Linked DNA regions of Nothobranchius furzeri. The protein of the gene in region 1 purifies or fractionates together with the protein of each later gene. This does not show direct contact. Links are inferred from orthologs where the notes say so. Each region holds a gene or a part of one and is shown on either strand. Other genes may lie near its edges.

Evidence for each region.
Region 2: the proteins of acbd6 (region 1) and nmt1a purify together in Homo sapiens (co-immunoprecipitation; 3 studies listed by BioGRID and IntAct, with this or other methods). This does not show direct contact. The link is inferred for Nothobranchius furzeri from reciprocal best matches to the Homo sapiens genes ACBD6 and NMT1.

Annotation. Positions count from the first base shown.
Region 1 is NC_091748.1:57,393,386-57,404,536, reverse strand, and holds the start of acbd6 (acyl-CoA-binding domain-containing protein 6), read left to right. Parts: upstream 1-5,787; 5' UTR 5,788-6,001; coding exon 6,002-6,280; intron 6,281-6,476; coding exon 6,477-6,541; intron 6,542-6,973; coding exon 6,974-7,070; intron 7,071-11,151. Other genes in the region: xpr1a (xenotropic and polytropic retrovirus receptor 1a), read right to left, coding at 1,318-1,386. UniProt on the Homo sapiens protein: Binds long-chain acyl-coenzyme A molecules with a strong preference for unsaturated C18:1-CoA, lower affinity for unsaturated C20:4-CoA, and very weak affinity for saturated C16:0-CoA. Does not bind fatty acids. Plays a role in protein N-myristoylation.
Region 2 is NC_091745.1:11,795,567-11,806,174, reverse strand, and holds the end of nmt1a (glycylpeptide N-tetradecanoyltransferase 1), read left to right. Parts: intron 1-3,575; coding exon 3,576-3,667; intron 3,668-3,789; coding exon 3,790-3,906; intron 3,907-4,638; coding exon 4,639-4,809; intron 4,810-4,874; coding exon 4,875-4,983; intron 4,984-5,062; coding exon 5,063-5,233; intron 5,234-5,307; coding exon 5,308-5,472; intron 5,473-5,557; coding exon 5,558-5,695; intron 5,696-6,803; coding exon 6,804-6,824; 3' UTR 6,825-7,057; downstream 7,058-10,608. Other genes in the region: retsat.2 (all-trans-retinol 13,14-reductase), read left to right, coding at 9,133-9,292, 9,588-9,770, 9,970-10,211.

The sequences.
Region 1 (11,151 bases):
TAAAATGGCTGGTATGGCCATGCATCTGTCCATGCATGGGCTCAGTGTGCATCACTCTGTTCATACAAAGAAACCACCAAGATTTCATGTGTACATAACACATCAAATGCAGATATCACCCAGAAATAACCTCCTCCCATTGGGTTTATTAATCATTTATTTCATTATTAATCCACTTTTATGTGATGCTTTTGTATTACATGATGATGGAAGCATATTCATGTTGAGATAGAGAGGTCCCCGTGTCTACTGCAGCCAATTGTCAAACCTGAGAATAAAATCCAGGGCATGTTACCAAAATTAAACCAGTTCAGTGAGTTTTTGTTGGGTCTGCTGTGCAGGGTGAACTGGGTATTTGTCTATAATTCATGGAGCTAAATGGAACTGAGCAGCATGTCTGCACTAAAGCTCTCACTAGATCCACGGAGGAGGAGGATGCAGAAAGATACCTCTCCTCAAATATATAAAAACATGTGTACAAGGATTCATGTCTAAAGCTGCAGACATGACGGACAGACAAAACATGTTAGGCAAAGTCTTGCAGATTAAATTATAACGCCTTGGATAAAAGTGTCAAATAAATAACCTCTAAATTTAGAAATTTCCTTAAATATGCATTTGCATTTTTATTGAGGTTTTTTTTTTATCTAAATTCAGTAACACATTTTAATTAGTGTCTGGGGGAATCACCTTGTAAAAAGATAAAAATAGTAAATTAAAGGGGTTATCTAAATACGGCATATGACCACATTGTTGGGAATTGTAAACCGTTGCAAATGGTGAAGCCAGAATGGAGGGAATAAAAATCCTGCAACAGAAAAGAAAAACATCTTTGCAAAAAAAAAAAAAAAAAAAAAGAAAGAAAGAACGAGAGAAAGAAAAAGCTATTATTTAAAATATATTAATATTGGCATTTGTTTGGTACAAAATGGAAAAAGAAAGAACTATCTTGATTGTTTGATGACATTCTTACTATAAATGATCCAATTTACCCTAATGACAGCAGTTCAGCTGTTGGGTAAACTGTTCATCTAGTTAAATTTTGAGGATTGTAAATTCTGCAAACGACAATAAACAATAAAAGGTCCCTTTGGCTCTTAACAACCGCAGTCAATTCGCCATTCATAAACAATGGGGTATCCTCTACCTTCACTCCTTTATTACTCTCAAGAGAAAGACATAACTAAACGCATAAAGCCTGTTTGAGGAAGCTTATGTTAATGTTCTTTTTGTTTCATCAAACATCTCAGATAAGTTAAATGCTCTTTTATACATCTAGTATTATTTAAATAGCCTACATAATAAACTGGACTTTACCTCATACTGGAGATATTGTTTCCTCCACTCTGGGGTGATGTGGGACGCAAGATGCTCCGCGAATTTCATTTTTGCTGAAACAAGAGTTCCTGTAAAAGCTGTTGAATCCTGGAGCGCGTCCCCGTCGACGCGACTTTTGTTCGGTCAGACAACTTGCAGCCTCAACGTGCGCTGCTGCGGAAGCTCCGGGCTCCGGCTCCGCTCCCTCTCACTCCCACTCCGCTTCAGGCTCGTCCCGCTCTGTGCGCTCCGAGCAGATCCCGTCCCGCATATTATTTCCACGTGAGGGTCAACAGCGACTGCTCCTGAACAGGTGGTCGGACGGCTCAGCTTGAGAGTGGCTCAGTGACTCTGCTCGGTCCCTCCCTGGGCTGTGTCCTGGGGACATTGCGGGCGGCCATGCGGTGGACTACAGTGACGTGTTTGCGTCAGCAGAGCGCGCAGTGGCACCGGACCCGGCTGGGACCTCCTGATGCCTGCTGACTGGGCATCCGGACAGCCGCACCATCATTTATCTACTTCTGCTTCCATCTAGAGCCTCTGCACTGATGTTGCTGTCTGGAAATAAGACCAGACACAGTTCTCTGATAAAAGTTAGTACCTTATCCTTCTGGTGTCTAAAGCAGATTTTGAAAACTCCCCGCCCAAAGTGATTGTTTTGACTGAGTTCACCTGGATTAAAAACTTAAACCCCATTTGTTTAGTACAGCTCGTAATATCCAGACAACCCAGTCGAATAAAAAAAAATAATTCAAACTGTAACTTCAACAAACACCCTTTCATGCGCAATAATGTCTCTGCAGCTTTTTCAGAAGATGTTTTTATGATCCTTGCACATAAACTCTAGTCAAATGACAAACTTATGATTTCTTTTTCTTTACCAAATGCACGTTTCTAAATCAAAACACGTGTGTGCCCAAGCGGACACCCGAAAAGCTACATATATTTTTTATTTCAAGTTCAATGTGTATTTTCCTGCCCACAAAAGAGTACAAATACTAAGAAAGATTTATTCTGACTGATGTCCCAACTCAGGCATTAGGAGCCTATAGTGAAAAGTAGGATAAATCTTTTTTATTAAAAACATAAACTTTCACATTTTTTGTAAATAATATTGATATTTTTATAGACCAAGTATTTTTTCTGCAACTGTTAATAAATACTAAGAAAGATTTATTCTGACTGATGTCCCAGCTTAGGCATTAGGAGCCTATACATGCGAGTGAAAAGTAGGATAAATCTTTTTTATTAAAAACATAAACTTTCACATTTTTGTAAATAATATTGATATTTTTTATAGACCAAGTATTTTTTCTGCAACTGTTAATAGTTGTAAACAAAGCAGCGCGATGTTTTATCTGTAAATGGGATGACAAATTGTTTGTTTGACAAACGCTTGTGTTTTCAGATTGAAGAACAACTTTTAGGGAAAAAAACAAATAAGCAAACATTAAAATTAAAAATACGATAAAAAGATATTAGTCTGAGGTAAATGCCGTGCAAAAGAACGGTATTGGTTGATACTATACTATGGTTGAAGCATTTTATTTTTCCACAAGTCAACATTTCTGTGATTATTGCAGTCACAAATCCGTACGCCAAAAGCACCCTCTGCTGGACTAAATAAGCCATTGCATTTACGGTTAAAGTCTCGAAAAAGTGAAGAAAATAAATGCAATGTGTACATCATCTATCTGTATTACATCTAAATGTTACCTTGAAGACTGACTATATTGTTGAGAAATGACTAAATGTGTCTTGCTGTGAGAATAAACTGTTTTGAGCTCTGATTTAATTCATCTTCTTTATTCCTTTACAAATGATTACAACTTTCCATTTTAGTTAGTTGATCTGCAACCCAAGCATTTTTCTAATAAAATTAGTTTTGAAAACAAGTAGATTTTATGATTGCTTAATTTATTCAAATAGCTGTATAGCTTCATAGTGTTTCTGACGAGTTTAAACTGACGCAATTTATTTCTACAGCATGTGTAAGTCATTTTTAATAAGTAAAGTATTGCTTGTTTATTATGACTAAAATATAGAAAATTAATTGTCTGTTCAGTTTCCAGCTCGTGATTTCCGACCTGTGGACAAGGCCTGGACAAAAGTACAGCCGGTGTTGTGCCAGTAAAGGTATTCCAGTTGGGCGTGACATCCAAAGGCAACTTTGTTAACAAATAGTGAACAGATGGAAGAAACTCCTGGCGTTTTGATCCTTGATAAACATTTATTTTAATATATTTAGTCTAATTATGTTTTTGTACCCTTGGACCATAATAGTGTGGATTTTACGATGTGATACAATATTTCCTGGGCTGGACAAATAAAAGTTTCCAATCTCAAATCTTTGATTAAAAAAAATATATTGAACAAGTGTAATGTTGAGTAAATGCACAGTAGTATAATACAGTAACAAAGATATTAATGAAAAAATAAACAGATGAAACTAAAATTATTAGCCCCATGAGCAATTATGGAATATTTCCCTAAACTTATTCCTAATGTTTACAACATTGATGAAACTTGATACAATCAAACATTTGTGAGTGTTGTTTGGAAGCCTTTGGTACATTTTGTAATGTAAAATAACATTTTATGCCTGCTTTATATCAAATATAGTGAAAAATAGGGTTTTCAGAAATATCAGCATGAGAATGTTTGCTTTCACACCAACAGTTATTAACCAATCAGCTTTGAAACTGTGCAGTCAACTGGCTTCCTAACAACATTCAGTCACTATAAAAAGACTCCAAGGAACAGGGCAATTGAGCACATGACAGGGACTACAACGCCTACAAAGACAAAAGAAATCAGTCTGGAGCACAGAAAGAAAATGGCCTGTGAAAAGGTCGAGGACTACCTTGCCCTTTCCAATTATTTACAGTCTAGGAGTCGAACTATTGTACATTGCATCAAGATCAAGTACAAGGAGACAAATTCTGTAAGAAACAAACTCTGAACGTGGCTGTAAGAGCAAGATTTCAAGAACTTTGGAGAGAGAGGTAGTTAGGGATATCAGCAAGGAGCCTCGGACATCTGCCATGATGATTGGTGCTGACCTGGCCTCTTCTGGCGTCGGCGTTTCAAGGAACACAGTTGTGAGGGCTCGTCATCATAGGGCCAGCAGAACCCCTTTACCCTACGAGCTACACATCAGAGCCTGACTGAAATGTGCCCGTTTGAAAGATTAATATTAGTTTTGGAAGTCTGTCCTTTGGTCTGATGAGTCTAAAGTGGAACTGTTTGGGCAAATGGATGTTGCGTTTGGCAAAGAAAAAGCGAGAGAGTCCTTCAACCATCACAGTTCCCACAGGTAAGCGCAGTGGTGGGAGCATATACTGAGGGGTTGTTTTGCAGGTTTAGGCACAGGGAGCCTTGTTTGGTGTCATGAAACAAGTGTCGTGAAAAAAATCTGAGGAAGAACATGCAGAAATCTGCTTGTAGTCTAGGCTTAGGTCATTGCTGGCTGCTCCAACAAGACAATGACCCAAATAATACATGAATATCCAACAGTTAAGGACATCAAAACCAAGATCCTGACCCACACAGAGCCCTGACCTCAATTCTACTGAGAATCTGTGGTGGGTGCGCAAAGTGAATAAAAGCTTGGAAACCATGTGATTTGAGCCAGCTACAACAAATTGTAAAGGAAGAATGGACCAAAATCTTTATGGAGAGCTGTGCCAACCTAGAAAAGAACTACTCTAAGAGATTGTTGTCAGTTGTGGCTAGAAAGGGGGAACTATTGATAGCCAGGGGCCTAATAATTTTGGATGTCTCATTTCTGCTGTTGCTTGTTTCAACTTTGTGTATCAATAACATTTCCTAATTAAATTTATTGTTTATGTGTATGTACACAAATGTAATGGTGGAGAAGTGCAATGTAAGTAAATAAAAAACAGAGTCCCAATCAAAAGTTTAGGACCACTTGAAAATGGCCAAGAAACATATTTGGCATGGTTGGATCCTAACGAGTTTCCAAGTAGAGATTCATCAACAAGAAAAAATTAAAGAGACAAAGCATTTTTGAGCATGTAATTTATTGAAAACAATGCTTAAACTAAAACAGGCTGTTTTACAGCTGATCAAAAAGTCACACCCCAGCAGACGTAATAATCACAACTCCACACAGAATTTGTTTCCCCTTTAACTGTGTCAAAAAAAATTTAAACAAACCTTCCTCATGAAAGAGCATCAACAGATGTGTGAATGCACATTTTGTATGTGCCATACATGTAAACAGCGTGCTTGATTTTAAGTTATTTTCAGTACATTTCTAGTCAAAATGTTTTGTCTCACTCCCATTTCTTCTTGTTGCAAATTGAAGCTCTGCTTGGAACCTGGTTGGTTTAATATCCAACCATACAAAATATGAATTTAGCCATTTTTCAAGTTGACCTGGATTTGACCTGAAATACGTCACACATCATGGGTGCGTTTATTTGCACAGCTCCGGAACCTTTCTTCTTGGCTAGAGATTGCGCCGACCTCTTTTGATGAAAGGACTAAACACGGACTTACCGTAGAAATGAGTCTGGCATCGATAACGGATTAAAAGCGTTATTAGCAATAATAATAATACTTTTACAAATAAATATCTGACAGCTTCTCTGCGGCTGCTTTCCACTCGGGGATTTCTGGTGGTTGTGGTTTATAGGACAGCGCGTTGTGAACAATAACAATGGCCTCTGGTTCACCCTCGTCCTCCCCGGACACTGCGACGGGCTCGGGTACGGATCCAGCGCGGCCCGATACCGGCGAGCCTCTTGGTGGAGCGGGTTCAGACTCGGACTCGGACTTGGGTTTGAGTAAATTTGATTGTAGTGCCGTGGAGATGACGGAGGAAATGGAGGGAGAGGAACTGGAGCAGGAGTTTGAGTCTGCAGCTGACCGAGTGAGAGACTTGATTCAGACGGCCAGCAGGGACCAGCTGCTGTACCTGTATGCTCGTTTTAAACAGGTGAGTGTCACATTTTCAACACCAGTTTTAACCATACGAGTGTGTCCGTCTGGCGTAGTTAGTGACCCCTAGTGGCTTCAGATGAAACTACAGCCACATACTCTGAAGGAGTGTTTGTTCCAAACATGTTTATAACAGTGATCCAGGTTCAGATGGGACAGCAACCAGATTAATTATGTGTGTGTTTTGTTTTCAGGTCAAAGTAGGGAAGTGCAACACCCCAAAACCTGGTTTCTTTGATTTTGAAGGGCAGAGAAAATGGTATGTTGTTTAAACTCGCTGGCCTCGTTGAAATATAGGAATTAGTTTCTAGTTTATGTATTTTTTAAATTAAATTAGTAGCATGTGCATACAAAAGGGAAAATAATTCCCTCACATGTGAAAATGAAGAGAGTATTTAGTCATATTTTAGCCTGTTGTCTTTTAAAGGACTTATACCCACAAATGTACCCAGATACTTTTACCTGAAATGCAATCATAAAACGGTGTAACAAGTAAAAGTCTTTCTTAAAATGTACCATTATATTCAGATTTTCTTTGGCAGGACCTTTACTTTTCCAATCATTGGTTTTATTGTATTGTGAAAGTTTCCTGACCTTTTAATGGACCTTTTAAGAAAATCTCGGTCCAGATGAAGCCTCACACCCTTGACTGTTGAACAGGATTGTGATGGAGTTTGTGATTTCACCACAGGCTAGCCTGGAAGCAGCTTGGAGACATGGACGCTGAGCAAGCGATGCGAGAGTACATTACCTGTGTCAATGTGTTAGACCCAGAAGGCACCACAAAGGTAGAACCAGAGCTGCTCATTCAAACGTTTTTCTGAAATTTGTTTTAAAAAAGAAATAAATTCCAAATAGTTCAAATCCTCAAAGATATTTGAGAAGTAAAATGTTTTAAGAATAGAACCAAGAGGTTTGATGACCTTTTTAGTATTTTCCTTAAGCCTACCTGATTTAACAATGTGAGGATAATTATTTTAATTAAATCACTTTGTCTGAAACACATGCTGTTCTATTATTGATCTTATGAACCATTGATAAATAAATAATTCTCTCTTTGTAATTTAATCTAATTTAAATTTGGGTTTGCTGTATCACTTCATTACCCTCTGCTGAAGTAGATGGATGTTTAACAGAGATGGGGCCACTAGATGTCAGTGTTACATAGTTGACACCCACATCACCTCGCTTCTCCTCCAGCTTCACTGGCTGCCAGTCAACTTCAGGGTTCGTTTCAAGATCCTGGTTCTGGTCTATAGGGCCTTACATGGACAAGCACCATCTTACATTGGTGATCTTCTTAGTCCCTACACCCCCAGCAGGTCCCTGAGGTCCAGTGATCAAAGCCTACTGGTTGTGCAGCACCAGGCTAAAGACCAAAGGTGACAGATCATTTGCTGCTGTGGCCCCCAGACTCTGGAACTCTCTCCCCCTGAGTCTGAGATCAGTGGACTCAGTGAACTCCTTTAAAAAGCAGCTGAAGACTCACTTGTTCAAGCTCGATTTTGTATGACCTTCTTCACCACTCTCTCTTTATTCTGCTCTCCCCACCTATTCCACCTTCCTCAGGATCCACTGATTTCCCTCTTTCCTATTCACTCTCTCTCTTTCTTAACATTTTTTCTTTTAAGTCCCAATTGCCTATTTTTGCTCATTTTAAATATATTTTAAACATTTTCTAAATGCTTTTTTATATTTTAATATTTTTTTTGTTTTTGTGAAGCGCCTCGTGATTTTTATCTTGAGAGGCGCTATAGAAATTATATTTTCTTCTTCTTCTTGATTTCTTACATTCTTTACGGTCTCAACTTTGAGGTAAATACATCCTAAAAATACCCCCCCAAAATAAATATGCCAAATAAATAAACATACATATATATGGCCCACTTGGGCCAGCTCCTCCGGGGGAATCCTAAGGCGTTCCTTGGCCAGCTGAGAGACAGAGTCCCTCCAGCATGTCCTGGGTCTCCCTTTAGGTCTCCTCCCGATTGGACGTGCCCAGAAAACCTCACCAGGGAGGCGTCCAGGAGGCATCCTAACTAGATGCCACAGCCACCTCAACTGGCTCCTCTTGATATGGAGCAGCAGCGGGTCTACTCCGAGCCCCTCCTGTGGCCCTTTTTCTCATCTCTGGGGATTTCAACCATGCTTCTCCGTCATCTGTTCTGCCCACATTTACGCAGTATGTTACCTGTCCCACCAGAGACAATAAAATACTGGACTTGTTTTATGCCAACACCAACGAAGCATATTCGGCACAGGCAGGCTGTGGCCCCACGTATAGTGAGGAGGTGGACTGATGAGTGTGAGGAGGCTCTCAGGGACTGCTTCAGCACCACGGTGTGGACAGAACTCTGTGATCCACATGGGGAGGACATCAACGCCATCACAGATTGCATCACAAACTACATAAACTTCTGTTTTGAGAACACTGTTCCCTCCAGGACGGTGCGGTGCTTCGCGAACACCAAACCATGGATCACCCCGACGTCAAAACTCTCTTAAAGGAGAAAAAGAGAGCCTTCAAATCTGGGGACAAGGAGGAGCTGAGAACCGTTCAGAAGGAGCTGAGGAGGAAGATCAGGGAGGGGAAGGCCAACTACAATAGGAAAATGGAGGAGCAGCTACAGGAACAAAACATCAGTGGGGTGTGGAGGGTGTGGAGAAGCCTAAAAACCATCTCTGGCTTCAAAACACCCCACTCACAGGGGGAAGGGGGACCTGAAGTGGGCCAACAACCTAAACCTGTATTTCAATAGGTTTGACCAAGCACCCACCCCTACCCCCACACAGCTGCATTCAAATAACTCCACACCTGGACGGCCCCCTACAGCTACAGCCCTTCACACCTCTGGCTCCTCCATTCAGACCTCCATTCAGACCATCATGCACCCCCCAGCAGGACTCGGCCCCCTCTCCAGTACAGAGCTGCACTGCCCACCCCTCTCCTTTACAGCAGGCCAGGTGAGGAGAGAGCTGATGAAGATCAAAGCAAAAAAAAAAGCTGCTGGTCCTGACAACATTAGCTCTAGGCTCCTTAAATCCTGCGCAGATGAACTGAGTGGAGTTATGGAGCATGTCTTCAACCTGAGCCTCAAGCTGAGGGTGGTACCACAGCTCTGGAAGACCTCCTGTGTGGTTCTAGTGCCAAAGACACCAAAAGCTAATGAGCTCAGTAGCTACCGGCCAGTGGCTCTCACATCCCACCTGATGAAGACACTGGAGAGACGGATCCTGGGACACCTCCGGTCTACTGTGGGACCTTCGATGGATCCACTGCAGTTTGCTTACCAACCAGGGGTTGGAGTAGAAGATGCATTCACTTGTCTACTACATCGTGCTCTGGCCCACCTAGAGAAACCTGGCAGCACTGTGAGAATCATGTTCTTTGATTTTTCCAGTGCTTTTAACACCATCCAGCCAGGGATTCTAAAAACTAAACTGGAGAGGGCTTGGCTGGACCCTTACCTGGCAGAGTGGATCCTGAGCTATCTCACAAACCAGCCCCAATTTGTGAGAGCCCGGGACTGTGTGTCTGACCCGCTGACCTGCAGTGTGGGTGTGCCCCAGGGCACTGTCCTGGCTCCATTTCTCTTCACCCTCTGCACCTCTGACTTCAGACACAACATGGACAGCTGTGTCCTGCAGAAGTTCTCAGACAACCCTGCGATTGTCAGACTGATCATCGAGGACGACGATGTGGAGTACAGAGGACTAACGCAGGACTTTGTCGATTGGTGCCAGTAAAACCACCTCCTGATAAAGCAGGGAAAACAAAGGAGGTGGTGGTGGATCCTCACAGACGCCGACCAGCTGTCCCCTCACCAGTGAACATCCAGGGAACAGACATCAAGAGAGTGGACTCCTATAAATACCTGGGTGTTCACCTGAACAACGAACTGGACTGGTCTCAAAACACAGATGCACTGTATAGGAAGGGCCAGAGCAGGCTCCACCTCCTGAGGAGACTACGGCCTTTTGGGGTGAGGGGGACACACCTGAAGACCTTCTACGACTCTGTGGTGGCATCAGCAATCCTGTGTGGTGTGGTGTGTTGGAGCAGCAGCATCACAGAGAGGGAGAGAAAGAAGCTGGACAGGCTGACAAAGAAGTCCAGCTCTGTCCTTGGCTGTCCTCTGGATTCTGTACGAGAGGTGGGGGACAAGAGGGTGCTGGCAAAACTCAGATCCATCCTGGACCATGAGTCACACCCCCTGCAGGATGCCTTGTCTGCTCTGGAGAGCAGCTTCAGTAACAGACTGATCCACCCTCGCTGTACGAAGGAGAGATACCACAGATCTTTCCTCCCTGCTGCTGTTAGACTATAATAGTCACTGCTAACAGAAGCCATACATCTGTAACCTTCCACTGCAAATATAATCTTTTCAAAACGCGTGCAATATAACTACTACTCTCATTACCATGTGCAATAATTATCTTAACTTATTATGTACTCTTGTGCGATATCTTGTGTGCTACTGCTGCTATCCTGCAGTACCTGAGCCATTGCAATATTGCAATTTCCCCACTGAGGGACTAATAAAGGTATTCTTATTCTTATGACCAAGCTTCACACCCTCTCTCTAAGAGAAAGCCCACCTACCCTGCGGAGAAAACTCATTTTGGCTGCTTGTATCTAATTTTATTGGTCACTACCCAAAGCTCGTGACCATAGGTGAGGTTTTCTGACTCAAGACCATGGTCTCAGATTTAGAGGAGCTGATTGTCATTCCAGCTGCTTCACACTCGGCTGCGAACCGCTCAAGCGAGATCCGGGATTGGTGCATCTCTAATTAAAATCATTTTCTGGATCTCTGACACAAAACCTCATGTTGTGTTTGTGTTGTTAAATGTAGTCACTCCTAACCA
Region 2 (10,608 bases), on another chromosome or scaffold:
TCAAATTTTAGGGGTGCTGGGAGTTGATTTAGCGGTGTTTCAGCATCCCCAAAAATGGGCTAAAAACACCCATGGGTGATTCCTTAAGGGGGCCAATTGTAAGTTTCCGTCCTCTTTGAATATTCTCTAAAGAGTAGCAACATGGGGGCCTCACAACAACTCTCACATGAGCTGAAAACAAAGCCCTTTTTATAAGACACACCATGCTGGCAAATTGGCGTAATATTACCGCAGTGGTATGTGTATAAACGCGCCATGCCGGCATGGCGTTGCGCGAATTTTGCGGCATTCGTTCCGCCTCGCTTGGTAGTAATATTGCGGTAATGGTCTGTCGTATGCGCCCTGGCGCAACAGAGGCAGATGTCATGATGATGTGGGGAGTTATTGCTGAGCTCCGGGTTGGCAAATTTATGGAAAATGAAAGTAAACACAGGCGGTAAGGCTTGCTTTTTGAACAAAATCAGCTGAGATGGCAAACTGGAGCGCCGCAGCGCTGCATGAGCCTCTCTGTTAGAGCTGAAGCTCAAATCACCAGAGACTGCACAGGGACTGATGGGGACAGACACCTTTAGGAGCTGCTTGTTAAAAAAATGTAACGATCATGGCTTCATTCGCAATAAAAAGCAAGTTATGTCCAAGATAAACGGAAGTCTGCGGCAGCGCAGAGACCACCCCTATACCCGCTTTATGCCGCCATCACCTAATCTTTTATAAAATTGCCACGATTGCGCCACATTACTGCCACGGGCTGATCTTATAAATGATCATTATCCTCCCCAGGGAGCCGCGGCAAATCCCGTTTTGCAAACGCTCTGGTCCTGTAAAAACAGCTCATGATTGTTCACCGTCATGGTTTAGGGGAAGGATACAGAAAGCTGTCTCTAGCCCTTTTCAGATTGACATTCTGGAATATGTGTGGACAATTCAGTCTGGTTTTTAACCAGAACTGTGTTTTCAGACACACCACTTTTGTATCTGAACTTGTCCCTTCGGCTGCCTTCACACAGCAGGGAAAAGTTTCAGATGTCAGACCAGATATTGCGTAAACATAGTGCGCCGGGCGTACATGCATCATTTACCCAACCAAAGCTATTTAGTCAAACATGGCCGACGAAGAGATAGAATTCCTCTCACTGATCGGACTTATATTAAGCATAATTATGTGCACACAAAGACGCATAAGAGACCTGGATGATGAAACTCAATGGTTAAAGGAATCACGGAAGCGGTTTGAAGCGCTCCGTCGCGCGTCTAGGAGACTGTACCGTAGGAGCGCATAGGAGGCGAGCTGCCATGGTTCGCCGCATGCTACAGGAGCGAACAATCTAGGTGCGCACAGCGTCCCCCGGTCCCCTCCTCTCCCTCCTCCCTGTCCGGAACTCGACCTCACCAGTCTGAAGCAGCCACCCTGTCCATGGCGAGTCCGGTTCTGTTACTAGGGGCTTCGTCCAGTTTAATCACGGAAAAGGTTATCCGGATGTTTGTATTCAGACACAAAGGTCTTAAGGACAGAGTCCCGAACATTTCCATTTTCCATGGCCTGTCTGAAGGGGGCTTCAGAGATTTCAGCTGTCTGTTTCCACAGTTAGGAACATATTGAGGAAATAGAAGACCACAGGTACAGTTCAAGTTAAGGCTCCAAGTGGCAGAGCAAGAACAATCTCAGATAAACAGAAGTGAAGAATGGTGAGAATAGTCCGAGCCAACCCACAGACCAAAGACATACAACATCATCTTGCTGCGGATGGAGTCGATATGCATCATTCAACTATTCAGTGCACTTTACACAAGGAGATGCTGTATGTGAGAGTGATGCAGAGGAAGCCTTTTCTCTGCCCACAGCACCAACAGAGGTTTGCTAAAGCACATTTGGACAAGCCAGCTTCATTCTGGAATAAGAAAATGGTCCAGAATACCTTCAGCCTCTCTGTCTGTCTGTCTGTCTGTCTGTCTGTCTGTGTGTGTGTGTGTGTGTGTGTGTGTGTGTGTGTGTGTGTGTGTGTGTGTGTGTGTGTGTGTGTGTGTGTGTGTGTGTGTGTGTGTGTGTGTGTGTGTGTGTGTGTGTGTGTGTGTGTGTGTGTGTGTGTGTGTGTGTGTGTGTGTGTGTGTGTGTGTGTGTGTGTGTGTGTGTGTGTGTGTGTGTGTGTGTGTGTGTGTGTGTGTGTGTGTGTGTGTGTGTGTGTGTGTGTGTGTGTGTGTGTGTGTGTGTGTGTGTGTGTCTGCTCTGTCTTCTCGATCCCCAGTGAGTCGTGGTAGATGGCTGCTTATACTGAGCCAGAATTCTCTGGAGGTTTCTTCCTGTTAAAAGGGAGTTTTCCTCTTCACTGTCGCTTTATGCTTGTTTAGTATGAGGATTGCTGTAAAGTCACTGACACTAGTCAGTGACTTGATGCAATTTGCTGGGTTCCTTATATAGGAAACATTATTTCTGATTGGCTTAATGAAATGACCTGAATTTGAATGTTTATCATGTGAAGTGCCTTGAGATGACTCTTGTCGTGATTTGGCGCTATATAAATAAACTTGAATTGAATTGAATTGGAAGCTATAGGAAGTGTGTAGCTTATGCACCTGCCTAATTTTGTTTAAAAGATTATTGCACACTTTCTGTAAATCCTATAAACTTTGTTTCACTTGTCAAACACCACTGTGTGTGTCTCCTATATGACATATTCAACTGAGATTTTTTAAATTGTAATAACCAACAATTAATACAGGAAATCATGAAGATTAACGAGGCTACTGTGTGTGCGTGCGCGTGTGTGTGTGTGCACGCGCGCGAGTGATTGAGAATATATGATTTGGGAGTCTTGTGACTTCACTGACCTATCGGAATCAAGGATTCGACCATAACTGTAGACATGGTAAATGCTTTAGTCAAACCACTTGGAAATTCAAAATAATGTGTAACTCACCATTCAGAGCCTCATATCACTGACAGAATAGAGCCTTCTCCAACAACAATGGTCTTACTTTCACAATCCAACATAATAGATTGCAGAAACCATTAAAAAATTTCCTCAGATGCTCATAATCCCTGTTAGCATCCAATGTTAGCTTCTTCCCGGACCAGCAGGTGTAGGGCTACCCACTCTCTGCTGAGGCAAATTCATCAGCTATTGGCTGATAGGTTAGAAGTACTAACCCTCTGGTCTGGTGTGTAGCGTCAACGAACTATGGCTCAGTTTATGATTTATTGAAGCATCAACTAGCCAGTGAAATTTAGATAGAAGCAACGTCTCATTTGAAGACCTTGCAGCTTGCTTCTGCAAAGGGAGTAAAAACATTAGTGAATGGTGGAGCGCTCTATGCAGTGTGCCGGCCCACAGAACCTCTTAACATCTCCTGTGCCAAAATCACACGTCATCATTTATTTGGGACTGTCGAATATCGCTTGAAAATGACCCAACCTTAGTGTGTATCGGTGCATGTTTTGTTTTTAATTCATGAATGAAAAATGTATAACTACTAATGACAGATGTTGGAAAGATGAATTATTTTTGTGTAATTGTTTATTTTCATAACATTTAAAACTTACTGGTGCTTTATTTCTGCTTTTATCGGTTTAAAACCAGCTCAAGGAGCTTTACACTCTTCTCAATGAAAACTATGTGGAAGATGACGACAACATGTTCAGATTTGACTACTCTCCTGACTTCTTGCTCTGGTACAAATGAAACACTTTCAGCTTTACACTTGCAGCAAATGTTAAAGTAACTGAATATTTTTAAATGTATGTAGTTACTCATTACACTGCTTAACTGGTCTTCAAATCCGTTTCCTGCTCAGGGCCCTGCGGCCTCCAGGCTGGTTGCCTCAGTGGCATTGTGGAGTAAGAGTGAACTCCAACCAGAAGCTGGTCGGGTTTATCAGCGCTATTCCAGCCAACATCCACATCTACGACATGTAAGGAAACTCTGTAGCGTTGAGTAGACCGTTCAGGTTGTGTCTCAGTTACCTGAAAAGTGTGGAACGCTGAAAACTCATTTTTAAATCTTATTTCTGATAATAGGTCACAGTTTTTTATGCAGGCTGAACATGAAAATAATCTCCTACACCTATCTCCTGCATTAGCTTCTGATAGAAAATTGATGATGAAACTCTAGGATTTGGAAAATCCTGACAGATCTACGTCACACTGTCACTGAACATTCATGGACTCACCCATCTTGACTCACAACGAGGAAGGCTGTTGTTGGTTTAGCGTCCAGGAAACGGCAGAGAAGATCTCAGCTAGTAGAAGCTAACCGTTAGTTTTAGCATCTCCGCCACACAGCAGAACTTTGTCAGGCTTGAGTTGTTTGTGGAGATTAAACCTCAACGTTGCAGAGCAGAGTCAGTGGTAGTCACATTGCTGTTATCCAATCAGAGGTGAGATGTCCAGAAAAAAATCCTAAACCTGCCGTCTGACGCTCAGCTCTGATGCGGCTCACTTCTAGTTCCTGAATATGGTGCGCCAGAGCTCCCCCACCACCTTCCAAGTCATTCATTCCTACTCGAGACCTCTGCAAACGTATTTGTTTAATGAGTGATCCACACCTTGAAGTAGTCATGGAAGTTCTTCATAAATGTCAGTGAATATTTCACAGCATACAAGTCTGACGTAACCGTTTTCTTTTTAATGTTTGTTTTTCTTAGAGAAAAGAAAATGGTTGAGATCAACTTCCTCTGTGTCCACAAGAAGCTTCGCGCCAAGCGAGTGGCTCCAGTTCTGATCAGAGAGATCACTAGAAGGGTCAACCTGCAGGGTATCTTCCAGGCGGTGTACACTGCAGGAGTGGTGCTGCCCAAACCGGTGGGCACGTGCAGGTTTGTCTGGCAAATAAACCTTAGTTTTCATCTTTTACAGCTTTAATGATCATTAACTTCCACAGGTACTGGCATCGCTCTTTGAACCCAAGAAAACTAATTGAAGTGAAATTCTCCCACCTGAGCAGAAACATGACTATGCAGCGCACCATGAAGTTGTACCGCTTGCCAGAGGTGTGTGCAGAGAGACACAAATCTACACATGCTCCCCATTATACTTTGAACCTCCTGTTCACTGTATTTTCTCCTCCAGGCACCAAAGACTTCTGGTCTGCGACCGATGACCAAGAAGGACATCCCGGTGGTGCATCGCCTCCTCCGTGAGTACCTGAGCCAATTCAACCTGGTGCCTGTCATGAACCAAGAGGAAGTGGAACACTGGTTCCTCCCTCGGGAGAACATCATCGACACATACCTGGTGGAGGTAAAGTGTTTTAATTCAATATTCTTACAGATAAAAGAGCTTATTTTTTCATTTTTGATGTTTTCTCCATGCAGGCCGAGGGCAAAGTGACGGACTTCCTGAGTTTCTACACACTGCCATCTACTATAATGAATCACCCTGTGCACCGCAGCCTAAAAGCAGCGTATTCCTTCTACAATGTGCACACCACCACTCCCCTGATTGACTTGATGTCCGACGCCCTCATCCTTGCCAAATCGGTTTGTTTACATCTTATTAAAACCCAGATCTGCAGCTCAAGTTATAACGTGCATCAAACCAATGTGTTTTTCTTTGCCCGTATAGAAAGGCTTTGATGTATTTAATGCACTGGATCTAATGGAAAACAAGACTTTCTTGGAGAAGCTGAAGTTTGGGATTGGAGATGGCAATCTGCAGTATTATCTGTACAATTGGAAGTGTCCCAGCATGGGGCCAGAAAAGGTAATTTTTCTGGGATTACTTATTTGTTTAGTGGAACGAAAATAATAACAGCTACATTTTTATTTTTCTCCTTCTTGTGCTTTTTGTTGATGCTGAAAAATCTTAATTCCTAACCTAAACTAGTCAGCAGAGGATTGCAGAGTGTTGTCCATTGTGAAGTTGGTAAAGTTTCTACCTCAACAATCACTGGAACCCACTTGGAAAGCAATAGCTTAAAGAGTTCAAATCTCTTTGGTGTTGCTTTAAATGCTGAGTGATGCTGGTTAGTGATTATTAGGAATGTAAGAAAATATCGATATAGCAATATATCACAATATTTTTTCCTGTGATATGATATCGATGTTCAAAAGCTGTGTATCGATTTTTTTGGAAGAACTCACGTGTAAACATTTGTGTATTTTCTTTACTTTTGGTGCAAATCAAATGTCGTCCGCTAGTCAGCAGTAGTGTGCAATGGAGTTTGTTTCCACCACTGAAATGTAAATCCCTCTATTATGGTTCAGATACCTCATGTTAATCATGTCAAGTATCAGTTTGGACCACTTATTGAATTTTCCTACAATAATTTTAGTCTTAAAAATCGCTAATATTGCCTGACTGAATGTATCGCAATATATCGTGAAATATCGTATCGTCTCCCCTGTATCATGATAAGTATCGTATCACCAGAATTTCGCCAATACACATCCCTAGTGATTATAAAGTGTAAGTTTCATCTGAGCATTTAACGTAGTCCCACTTTAGTGGGAGCAGCTTTACCAAACAGGTGACAGGATGTTTCAAATGGATCTGGTGCTTTTCTTTTGGAAAAACAAAAAACACGTCGCTGACACAAAAATGCATTAACATGATTAAAAGTTGTCATTTCATCCCACAGATTTAAGCTAAAACCATCTTGTGATGAGAAGTGATGGAGGTATTTATAATTGTTTGGTCGAATCTTGAAAACAATCAGGGCTGCTTAAGACAATCTCACAAGATGCATGACCTGTGGTGCATCTGTAAAGGACTCACAGCTGCTAAATTACCACTTGGTGGACCCCAAACCCATCTTAGGTTAAACCTACAGTCTTGTCTAAAGAGCTGTGGCCTTCTGTTTTCTCCTCAGGTCGGGCTGGTTCTGCAGTGACATCTCCTTACAACGTCGGGAAAGTGTCGCCAACAGGCCTGAAGACCACACCACAGACTGATGATTTCCAGCTTTTGGAGAGGAAATCCACCACTCATTTTTACTTTTTGACCCTTTGAACTTTGACCTGCACAACTGCTGCCAGGCTGAGGGTTTGGGGAGCTCTTCTCCCTCCCTCCCTCCCTCCCATCCTCCCTCCATCACATGGACCTTAAGCCATCTTAGTGACCATTGCAAGCAACTGTATTTCATCTAAAAGCTGTTTTCCATTTGTACCAAACACACCAGAACAGTTGGCACAGATTACTGGTCACCAGAACACTCACTGTTGGCAAACCTACAAAACCTGCAGTACCTGTAAATAATATCAGACGTATCTGCGAAGAACGCCCTAGCTCCTGCAGAGCAGAACCTACTGTTTTATTCTACTCCTAATCATTGGAAGTGCTTTTTGCAATTAAACTAAATCTGTTCTTAAGTTTTAGACGTAACAAAATCAACATGAGCAGGAATATTCTAAAGAGAGAGAGAGGATGTAATAAATACCAAAAGTGGACATAAGATAAGGGCTTCTGTTAAGAGTTCTTTTTTCAACTTTGTATTTTATTTAATTTTGCTCCTCACCATCTGTTGGCATTCATGAAGGTGTCTCGGCACTGCTTGAAGTTATTACCAGAGTTGGCATGCATCCTCTGGAGCTTCATATTAACACTCATGGGCGTCCTTATCCAGCCCATCGTACCGACAAAAGAAATCCAGAAGCAAGGACAAATCAATCTCCGCTGATCACAGTTGAGCTGATACAGCTGATTCATTTATCAACGGGAATGAGGTTTACGCCAACACCTTTGGATTTAAGTGAGGCCCATTTGTGACTTCCACTGTTAAATACCACAAACCTGTTTTATTTTTCCAAAATATCTGCAAGGTTTCAGGTGGCAATCAGAAATCCAAAGTACTTCAGGGCACTTTTAAAGTTTTTTTTAAAGCTTAATAGATAACTAAAACCTCTGGCGGGAAATCTAAAAAAAATATTTAAAAGGTATTTGGTAAAAATGGAAATGACCAAATTATAAACAAGTTTGAGTGTACATGCAGCATCATGCTGAGCTCTAGCTGTATATATTGAGCTGGTTTGATCACGTCACCTGTTCAATTGGAATTAAATCAGATGTGACGACACACCAGAGTTTGTAGGCTACCAAGCATAGTTCAGCAGATCTTGCATACTGACTATGCAGTTGCTTTCAGAGGGGGGTGAGGTTTTATGGTCAGAATCTGGAGCTGGGCCTGTGAAATCGGTCTGGACTGGCAACACGTGCAGGGTGGATGGTGATGAGTGGGGAAGCACTCCTGTTGGGGTTTCTCGTGTAAAACGTGTGCTAAAGGATGTTTAAAAAAGGTGAGTCTTGCGGTGTTGTGATGCAGGAAATGAATGAGAAGATGGAGGTGATATTTTTTTTTCTTTTAAGCAAAATAAAATAAAATCTAGCAGTTGCTGTGAAGTTATTTGTAGTTTGTTATTTAAGAGAGCGTTAATTAAAGGTGAAATGTAGAAGTTGCAAACCACTTTTCACTGATCTGTTTGCATGACAACAGAGTTGCATGTTTCTGATTTTTAGTTTGAGGCTTTTGTTTTGGCAGTGGCCAAGGTTTAAGGTTACCGTTTATATTGGCTCCGGATCCAAAAATACGGCCTAAACTTGCAACCCTAAATATTTCATGTTGGTCAATATAAGCACAGCCTAAAAGTTCAACAATGGCAGAATGAAAACAGTGAGGAAAATATTATTTTAGGATTCTTTGCCCCATGTCAGTTCTATTTGATTCCATCTTAGTGACTCCCTAACTTTGGGAACCGCTCGAGTTTTGTTTTAATAAGGTTTTCATGACCAAAACGAAAACGTTTATTTTTTTAATCAAGCTATGCTAAATAGAACTGAAAACTTTTTAAAAGTCAAACCAAGTGATGTAATACTCTGTAGCGCTCATTTTGTTTAAAAACACTCGAAGGTGTTTATTTTCTAGGGCGAGTTTCCTTTTATAAAGGCTGTTCGACATGCCCACTCGTTTACTAGATAGGGCGCTGGTTCACGAGAACTGATCAGGAAGTAGTGAACGGACAAGCAGCGGGGAAGCGACTTTCTCTTTACAGTTGTTGATTGGTCCAAATAAATCGCGTCACATAAAGCTACGGCTGTGGTTGGCTGAACGAGCATAGGTGGTATTTTGTCTAGCCCATGAGGAAATGAACCCACAGTAGCTGGAGCTGTCATCCCGGTTACAGCTCCTTCAGAAAGGGGATAAAATGTTTGCGGTAGTAGCCATTATTTTAATATTTTTAGTGGTATTTGTTTTAAAACATGTCTTCGGCAGCTCCGGACCAAATCCCTTCGAGAAGGACTGTCGTGAACCGTTAAAAAAGATGGTTTTCGACAAAAAAGAGAGAAATAAAGTGCTGAAGCAAGGTGCGTGACGTTTAGCTGCGTAAATGTGTGTAGGATATGTGAACGACAGTGAGCTGTTTAAAAGTTCGGCTGCGCAGACCTAATCCTAGCAGTAAACATGTTTCCTATCTTTTGGACTTAAACAATTAGAAATAAAACGTTTGGTATAAATGGATCTTGATTTAATCAGAGAATTGGAATAAAAATACTGTCATGTGAAAAATAATCCAAATATATGTAACGCAATGAAAAAAAAATAGTATCTTTATAGGTGAAGTTTTCTTGTTTTAACTTTGTTTTACCTGATTTAATTTAGGTTTCCTGGCCTCCAAAGTACCAGAAAATCTTGATGCAATCATCATTGGGAGTGGCATTGGTGGCCTTGGACTGGCTGTGTTTCTGGCTAAAGTTGGAAAGAAAGTTCTGGTTCTGGAGCAGCATAGTCGGGCCGGGGGATGCTGCCACACGTTCACAGAGAAAGGCTTTGAATTTGATGTTGGTGAGAAGACGCATAACTGATTTCTTTTAAAGTTCAAAGCTGATGATGATTTTTCTAGTAAGACAGGTTTTTGTAAACAAACGCAGACAGGATGCAAGTTTATGTCCTGTATTGAAATTCTCCTTTTTTTATCACCCAGAAGTTGATAAGAACACAAAAGTCAGTCCTGACTAACAGTTGCTGTGCTGTTCAACCACAGGGATCCACTACGTCGGTGAGCTGTTAGACCACAAGCCTTTTCGCTGCGTGTTGGACCAGATGACCAATGGGCAGCTGCAGTGGGCACCTCTGGAGAACCCATTTGACCACATTGTTCTGGGACCTCCAGAAAACCGCCGCTGCTACCCCATTTACAGTGGCAAGACCCGCTTCCCCGAGGAGCTGAAGAAGTGTTTCCCAGGCGAGGAGAAGGCCATCGATGAGTACTTGAGATTGGTCAAGGTAGGATCCTTCAGCTCACTCGCACATGTTCTGGACAGTCGCTAGGGTCGCAGGTGGCTGGTGTCTGTCTCCACCGTATGAGAAGCAGAGGACTCTCTGGACAGGTCTCCGGTCCATCCAGGACTAAATGGAGTCACACAACTGTTCGCACACGGGTCGTCTGCTTGGAAAACCAGGGAAAAGTGTGGTGCAGCTGTACAGTGGACAGGTAGAGAGAATTGCTAAAGCTATTGTTAGGGATACGGGACACCCACTGCATGCCCAGTTTACTCTCCTGCCATCTGGACGGAGATTTATTGTGCCAAGGTGCAGGACCAAGAGGTATAAAATGAGCTTTATTCCCGAGGCAGTAACGTTAATGAGAATTGAGTCTGGTGTGGCTATTTTATATTATTTT